Linked DNA regions of Canis lupus familiaris. The protein of the gene in region 1 binds, or shares a complex with, the protein of each later gene. Links are inferred from orthologs where the notes say so. Each region holds a gene or a part of one and is shown in the gene's direction. Other genes may lie near its edges. The genes, in order: GTF2F1 and POLR2D.

Region 1 (4,439 bases):
GGGAGACTTGAGGATGTCTGTGGGGGCCCAGGGAAGAGGTGGGGAGAGGGTTTGGTGCCTGCAGGGGCCAGCACGCACCGATGTGTCTGTGTCCACAGCCTAGTGTGTGTCCTCGGGTGAGTGACGCGGGACACGGGTCTCCTGGCATTACCCATTTTTGCCCTAGGGTGGCATCTGGGGGTGTGCATCCATGCCCAGTGGTATATCCACACAGGGCACGGGTTAGCGCTGCTACAGGGGCGGGTTTGGGGGGCTGCGAAGAGGATGCAGACTGCGAGCAGGCCATGCCCTCTGCACACAGCATCTCCTTGAAAACCTCAATGACTCGATTGTCCCGTTTGACAGCTGAGGAAACAGGCTCAGACTTGCGCCCCCTCTGGGCCATCCCACAACGCCCTCCTCCTCCTTCCCTCTGGTCCAGCCCCCCTGGCCTCTTCTGTCCCTTGAACTTGCCAAACTCATCCCTCTCCCGCTGCTCCCCCTGCACGCCAAGTCCCTGCTCCGCCGCCTTCAGGACACAGCCCACCCGCCCGCCCATCAGGCTTCCCCTCCCGACCTCCCCCCGCATCATCCCGTCCCAGGGCCACATTTCCTCCACTGCAGCAGCCACGGTCAGCTAGGATTTTGCCTGTTTCCTTGTTCTTGTCCGTCTCCCCAGCCACACTCTGTGCTCCGGGAGGGCAAGGACCAGTTCTGTCTTGCTGGTCCCCGGGTTTCTACCAGTTGCCACGGTCCCTGACGTGCGGTAGCGGGTGATGAGCAAACGAAGGTGCGTGGCTACCAGGCGTCTCTAAGGCAGCGCAGTAGTCGATAATGCAATTTCCGTGTCTTGCTTCCCTCCCGCTTGGCTTAGTGAATTCCCAGGCATCCCACAGGGCCCAACGTAAACTTTAAACCTCCCCTCTCCTGGGGGCCGCAGAGCCGGCTCCTCTCTCCCCGTGGCAGCCCTGCTCCCTCCTGCTCGCCGATCCCATTTTTCTGAGACTGTCTCCTTCCCTGTCTACACTGTCATCTCCTGGAGGCCGGACAGCTAGTGTGACATACTCGCCGTGGAGTGCCCAGAACCCCGCGCAGCAGGTGCCCAAGCGGATCAAAGCGCGGCTGATCCTCGAGCACGTGCAGCTCGGTGGGTGGGGGGCGGGGCGTGTGCACACCGGCCTGGGGTGTGGGGTACCTGCACCTCCCTCGTGCCCTTCACGGCCTCCTTCCTCCCCCCCGCCCCGTGAGCCAGCCGCCCCTGCGACGTTACCCTTCTCCTGGGGTCGCAGGGGCCTGCCCACCTCGGGCAGCTTGGACTTGCACAGACCCATCCCACCAGCGGCCCTGGGGTGGTCGCGCCCCATCCCCACCCGGGCCCTGACTCCTCCTCCTGGCTCGGCTCTACGTCACAAGGGCCCGATCACTTGGCGAGACGATGAGGTCTCCCCGGGGCAGAAGGAGGAAATGAACCCAAAGGGGCGCAGCTGGCGGCGCCCCAACAGCTCGGCGCGGACTAAGAGGCCCCGGTCGCTATGGTGACGCGGCCTCCTCCGACTCACTTCCGGAGTGCAGTGGCGCATGCGCGAGGCGCCCGAGAGCTCGCGAGGGAGGCTAGGTTCCTCCCTCCTCTCCCAGGACGCCCCGCGGCCCCCGGATGTGATGTCACGAGGAGGCGTGGCCACAGGCTGATTAAATCAGTCGCGCTTTATAGAGAGGCGCGACGCGGCTTCCGCCGCAGCCGGGGTGTCTTCCGCGTCGGGGTCGGTCTGGGCCGTCCGCTCCGCGGGACTCGGGGAGCTAGGTGACGCGGAGGAGGTTGCCGTCGCGCCGCGGCCCGAGTGTCACGTCCAGGTTAGGCGCAGGCGCAGACGCGGCCGGAGCGGTTCCCCGAGAAGACCGACTTCTGGGTAGCGGCCCCCTCGATCCGGGCCAGAGACCCGACGGCGCGCGGGCGGCTTCCCCGGGACTGAGGGGCGCGGGCCGCAGCGGACCCGAACCCCCGACCGTCACCATGGCGGCCCTCGTGAGTACACGGGGGAGCTCGGGGGTCGCGGCGCGCCGCCTCTGCAGCCCCCCACTCACCCACCGCCCCTCCTTCTCTGCCCGCAGGGCCCCAGCAGCCAGAACGTCACCGAGTATGTCGTCCGAGTTCCCAAGTAAGTCCCGCAGCCCTCTCCCCGCTTCCTGAGCTCCCAGGCCAGCCTGGCGCCGCCGGTGATGCCGCCTCCCGAGGAGCAGGGACCTGGGCCCAGGGCTGGGGTTGAGCGAGGTGCATCCCGTGTTTGCAACGGAATGAATGAATGAGCCCATTAGTGGGCGGTACGTCGGATGCAGCCCCCTGGCCTAGCCTTCTCTCGGCAGGAAGGCCTTTTCCCTGGCGTTGTGACTCCTGTCGGTCCTATAAAACCCAGCCCCACGATCTTCCTCCTCTGGGAAACATGCCCTGCCTGCCCTCCCCCGCCCCCGCCCCCAGGACAGAGGTCTCCATTATTCCCACACCTTGGGCACCCCCCGTCCCCCGACCTTTATGCCTCCCCTCCTGCTCTTCTTCAGCAGAGGGGTCGGGAGAGACCGGGAACCCCTGAGGGCTTCTGTGGGTCCCCAGCGTTGCTGAGCCAAGGGAGGGTTTGTTAAATGAACGGTGAACTGAGAGCAGCCCTCTTTTTGCCCACCCCAGAAACACAACGAAAAAATACAACATCATGGCCTTCAATGCTGCTGACAAAGTCAACTTTGCTACCTGGAATCAGGTAAGTCCCCGTTGGGAGTGAGCGTAAGAACCTGATCCTGCAATAGGCGCTTAGTTACAGTGGTAAAACTAAGGCTTGGCTTCGACCCCGCTCCCCGAGTGGGGATAAGACGATGTACTGAGGCCCAGGCTGAGCTGCTAGGGATCCCTGTGAGGAAGATTGGGCAGGCCCCACAGGAGGCCTCATGAAAGGATGGCATTTAGAAGTTGTGCCCCCTGACGGGCATTTCCAGCCTAGAGTCATCTGGGCAAGGCCGAGGGGGCTGCAGCCTGCAGATGGTTTTTGGAAGCTCTGTCCATGGGTGCTGCTACAGCAGAATACCGCAGACCGGGTGGCTTTTAAACAACACATATTTATTTCTCACGGTTCTGAAGGCTAGGAGGTCTGAGAGCAAGGCGCCAGCAGATGTTTGGTCTGGTGAAGGCCTGCCTCCTGGTTCGTAGATGTCTGTCTTTTTACTGTGTCCTCACGTGGCAGAGGGGGTGAGAGAGCTCTTAAGAGGGCACTCATCTCATTCACCAGGACTCCACCCTTCGGACCTAATCCCCTTCTCAAGGCCCCACCTCCCCATACCATCACACCGGGAGTTAGGTTTCATCATATGCATTTTGGGATAAAACACAAACATTCAGGGATCCCTGGGTGGCGCAGCGGTTTGGCGCCTGCCTTTGGCCCAGGGCGCGATCCTGGAGACCCGGGATCGAATCCCACATCGGGCTCCCGGTGCATGGAGCCTGCTTCTCCCTCTGCCTGTGTCTCTGCCTCTCTCTCTCTCACTGTGTGCCTATCATAAATAAATAAAAAAAAAATTTAAAAAAAAAAAAAAAAAAAAAAAAAAAAAAAAAAACACAAACATTCAGTCTATAGCAGAAACCTTTAAAGGGTTCTAAACAGGGGAGTTATAAACTGATCTGGGTGCTATAGGATCAGGGGCAGACAAAGGGTGTTGCAGGGTGGAGGCGTCGGCGGTGGTCCAGGTGAGTGACGACTGGGCATGGAGCAAACAGCGGTTGTGAGAAGTCAGTGGATTCTAGTGTGTTTTAAAGTGGAGCCAACATGATTTGTTAATGATTGGATGTTGACGGGTGACAGGGCCGGATGGACAGAGTATTGGGAGTTCAGTTCTCAACATCTTATATCAGACACCCAGGAGGAGACAGTAAATAAGCAGTGGAGCATCTGAGTTGGGAGACTGGGAGGGAGCATCTGGGCATTGGGGGCAGCATTTGAAGCCACAGAGACTGGACCAGCCCAGCACAGGAGTTGGCCCAGGTCTAAAGTTGGCAGCTTCAGGCAGCTCCTGCTGCTCATCCTGTTTTCAGCACCGGTCTGTCTTTTGACTGTTTTTAAACATCCCTTCATCTAGTTGAGCAAGTGAGGCTATTTGAAAGAGACGTTAGTCCCTCTGGATATTGGGCAGGTGGATGCTTGCTCAGGGCACCCTCTTCCCTTGTAGGCTGCCTGCCCCCCAGCATCTCCAGCCGTATGCACATTCATATACAAACTAACATGCTCCCCCAACCTCTGGTCTCACCTAAATTACCCAGAGAAGGTGGAGTGTTTCCAAATCCCTGATCACTCTGGGGGTGGGGGTGGGGTGGGGCATTCTTTATCACTGATCATCCAAGAGGGAGATACCCACACATCAGGGGGTCCCAGCTTTAAACACCCCTCACTAAGAGGAATAACTTGGTAAATACCTTGGGAACA
Region 2 (3,809 bases), on another chromosome or scaffold:
AATGGGTATTAAAGAGGGCACTTGTTGGGTGTCATCTGTAAATGATGAATCACTAAATTATACACCTGAAAATAATAATATACTGTATGTTAGCTGGAATTTAAATAAAAACTTGAAGCTAAAAAAATTAGTTACAAGATTTGTGTGATAGTAAATATTTGAAGTAGGTTTATTGTTTTTTTTTTTTGTTTTTTTTTTTTTATTTATGATAGTCACACAGAGAGAGAGAGAGGCAGAGACACAGACAGAGGGAGAAGCAGGCTCCATGCACCGGGAGCCCGACGTGGGATTCGATCCCGGGTCTCCAGGATCGTGCCCTGGGCCAAAGGCAGGCGCTAAACCGCTGCGCCACCCAGGGATCCCTTGAAGTAGGTTTAGTTGGGGAACAACATAAGATTATGAAATCTAGAGGGTAGGGACTTATTTTTTATTTATTTTTTAAAGATTTTATTTATTTATTCACGAGAGACACACAGAGAGAGAGAGGCAGAGGCAGAGGGAGAAGCAGGCACCATGCAGGGAGCCTGACATGGGACTTGATCCCGGGTCTCCAGGATCAGGCCCTGGGCTGAAGGCGGCACTAAACCGCTGAGCCACCCGGGCTGCCCAAGGGTAGGGACAAGTCCAATAGTATGTAATAGGTAGTGATCTGGGTGAATGAGTAAATAACAGATTTGTACAGGTACAAAAATAGAATTTGGGATGCATTATTAATGTGTGTTTCCAAATACTTGGCCCTCCCTAAGATGTAATAATTCTTAAAGTTTTGAGTATAATATTAGTATTGTGGAACTAGATTATCAGTTCATGCAAGCTACAGAGAAATAATTGTTGATTATGCTCTATTTTGAAAATCCTAACTGGCCTAATTAGGGTAATGATGTGTTATTATAGGATAATGATATGTCATTGTTGTGACATATCACAACACACATCCTGTGTTGTAGCACATCCAGGTCAGGTTCTTTGATGTTAGAAACTGTCTAGCTGGACTGAGCTAAGTGTTAGTATCTCATGAACTCTACTGTCCCTTGTGGTAGACTGGTCTGGATGAAGATAAAGCTGTGGGATATTGGGCCTCTGGATTTATGCAGGGACAGAAATTTGCTGCTAGTCTTGAAGGCAAAATGAACATTTAGAAGTTGTCTTTTGAAGGAATACTTTCAGCTGACATTTATGCTTCTCACAAATAGAGTTTGAAACAGCGGAGACATTACTAAATTCAGAAGTTCATATGCTTCTGGAGCATCGAAAGCAACAGAATGAGAGTGCAGAGGATGAACAGGAACTTTCTGAGGTCTTCATGAAAACTTTAAATTATACAGCCCGTTTCAGCCGTTTCAAAAACAGAGAGACCATTGCCAGTGTCCGTAGGTGAGTGCTAAAAGAAAGTTTTTATTAATCCAAACTGTTGGGATCCCTGGGTGGCACAGCGGTTTGGCGCCTGCCTTTGGCCCAGGGCGCGATCCTGGAGACCCGGGATCGAATCCCACGTCAGGCTCCCGGTGCATGGAGCCTGCTTCTCCCTCTGCCTGTGTCTCTGCCTCTCTCTCTCTCTCTCTCTGTGACTATCATAAAAAAAAAAAAAATCCAAACTGTTGGACATCTGTGTAAAATGCTTTTGCTTCTACTGCCACTGCCAGCACTGCCATCCCATGGTCATCATCTGTACCTTTAATGTAAGAAAAATAATATCTGTCTGAAATTTAAAAATTGCTTATGAGATCAAAATTCTTTTTGGCCACCTTTCCACATACCTAAAATCCCAGTGGTCATCCTGCACAGTAACCACTGTTAGTTGGTTATTAGCCTTCCAGATCTTTTCCATGTATTCACATATATATTTTATATATGTATAAAAAAATATATATATATATAACACATAACAGTGTTTTGTGAGTTTTTTTTAATAAAGTGGGCTTATTTATTTAAAATGTCTTCAGGATCTTTATATGTAATTAAGTATAAATCAGGAGCATTCTTTCTGAATCTTTGCTGTACTTCTCAGAAGGCAGCCTTTAGCATTTTTTTCTAAGGCATTGCGTCTCAAATTGGGTAACCTGGAAAAACATGATGTACTAAGGCATATAGGAAGCCACAGGAAAAAAACACATCTTCAAACATCAGTTTTATTTGATGGTAGGTGATTTAAAAGACTTCTACATTAAAACAAACAGATACCAGCATATTGTTGAATAAAACAAAAAATATATGTGAATTCCTGAATTAAATTACAAGACTTAAAACCTTACAGATGCAGAAAGTCATTTGAGCCTGTGCCCCCCAGGTCACCTAGGGATACTTGTGTGCTCTGCTCTGGTGAAAATGTTTGAGAAGTACTGTCCTTAGGAAAAGCAGGTATACAAAAAAAGATGTATATACACAGATACTTTTCAGAGAGCTACTTATAATAGCCAAGGACAGGGAGAAACGTTAAACATTCAACAGTAATTAAATAAATAGTGGTAAATCATTTGGTGAATATATGGTCATTCAAATTGTGGTAGAAAATGAAATCGAAAGATGTTCCCACGTTAAGTGTGCAGAAAATGAAGGTGATAAAATTGTATATGAAGAATAATCTGTTCTAAAAAGTGAATGTACGCATGGAGAAAAGATTGGAGGGAAATTTGCAGAGCTTCCGAGCAAAACTACAAGCTGTTGGGCCTAGGAGATGACCTGGACAGATGAAAGTAGACTTACACATTCAGTATTTTAAACATGTTGGTTCTCCCCAAATTAATGTATACATTTAGTGCCATTCTGGGAGCGCCTGGGTGGCTTGGTTGAATGACTGACTCTTGATTTCAGTTAAGGTCATGATCACAGTGTCATGAGATGGAGCCCTGCATTAGGCTCTTGTAAGAATTGTCAAAAAAAAATTTTTTTTTTGAGAAATATGAAGGGGAGAATTCGTCCTAAAAGATGTAAAACGCATTAAAAACTGATAGCAATTGGGACGACTGGGTGGCTCAGTGGTTGAGCGTTTGCCTTTGGCTCAAGGTGTGATTCCGGGATCAGGTCCCCCATTGGGCTCCCTGCAGGGGGCCTGCTTCTCCCTCTGCCTATGTCTCTGCCTTTCTCTGTGTCTCTAATGAAAATAAATAAAATCTTAACAACAAAAAAAAAACAACTGATAGCAATTAAAGTGGTGACACTTTGGCATGAGAATAGATCAGAGGGGGCAGCCCCGGTGGCGCAGCGTCGCAGCGGTTTAGCGCCGCCTGCAGCCTGGGGTGGATCCTGGAGACCCGGGATCGAGTCCTGCATCGGGCTCCCTGCATGGAGCCTGCTTCTCCCTCTGCCTGTGTCTCTGCCTCTCTCTTCGCTCTCTCTGAACAAATAAATGGATAAATCTTAAAAAAAAAAAAAAAATAGATCAGAGGGAAATAATTTTTTTTATAACTTAGAGAGCGAGTGAAAGCACTCAGGGTGGGGGAAGAGCAGAGGGGAGGGAAAGAGAGAATCTTAAGCAGGCTCCCCACCTAGCATGGAGCCCACTGTGAGCTCATCTCAAGACCCTGAGTCCATGTCCTGAGTCAGAATCAAGAGTCCGAGGCATAACCAATTAAGCCACCCAGGTACCCCTAACGGGGAAATATTTTATTTTTTTTTATAAAGATTTTATTTATTTATTCATGAGAGATACACAGAGAGAGAGAGAGAGGCAGAGACACAGGCAGAGGGAGAAACAGGCTCCATGCAGGGAGCCTGACGTGGGACTCGATCCCAGGTCTTCGGAATCAGACCCTGGGCTGAAGGTGGCGCTAAACCGCTGAGCCACCCGGGCTGCCCTAGGGGAAATATTT

What was found.
Region 2: GTF2F1 (region 1) and POLR2D share a complex: the UniProt entries of both Homo sapiens proteins name them as parts of the TBP-based Pol II pre-initiation complex. The link is inferred for Canis lupus familiaris from reciprocal best matches to the Homo sapiens genes GTF2F1 and POLR2D.

Annotation. Positions count from the first base shown.
Region 1 is NC_049241.1:54,168,189-54,172,627, forward strand, and holds the start of GTF2F1 (general transcription factor IIF subunit 1), read left to right. Parts: upstream 1-1,527; 5' UTR 1,528-1,990; coding exon 1,991-2,002; intron 2,003-2,088; coding exon 2,089-2,135; intron 2,136-2,656; coding exon 2,657-2,729; intron 2,730-4,439. Other genes in the region: adenylate kinase isoenzyme 1-like, read right to left, coding at 1-17, 1,250-1,343. UniProt on the Homo sapiens protein: TFIIF is a general transcription initiation factor that binds to RNA polymerase II and helps to recruit it to the initiation complex in collaboration with TFIIB. It promotes transcription elongation.
Region 2 is NC_049240.1:24,117,157-24,120,965, forward strand, and holds part of POLR2D (DNA-directed RNA polymerase II subunit RPB4), read left to right. Parts: intron 1-1,193; coding exon 1,194-1,374; intron 1,375-3,809. UniProt on the Homo sapiens protein: Core component of RNA polymerase II (Pol II), a DNA-dependent RNA polymerase which synthesizes mRNA precursors and many functional non-coding RNAs using the four ribonucleoside triphosphates as substrates.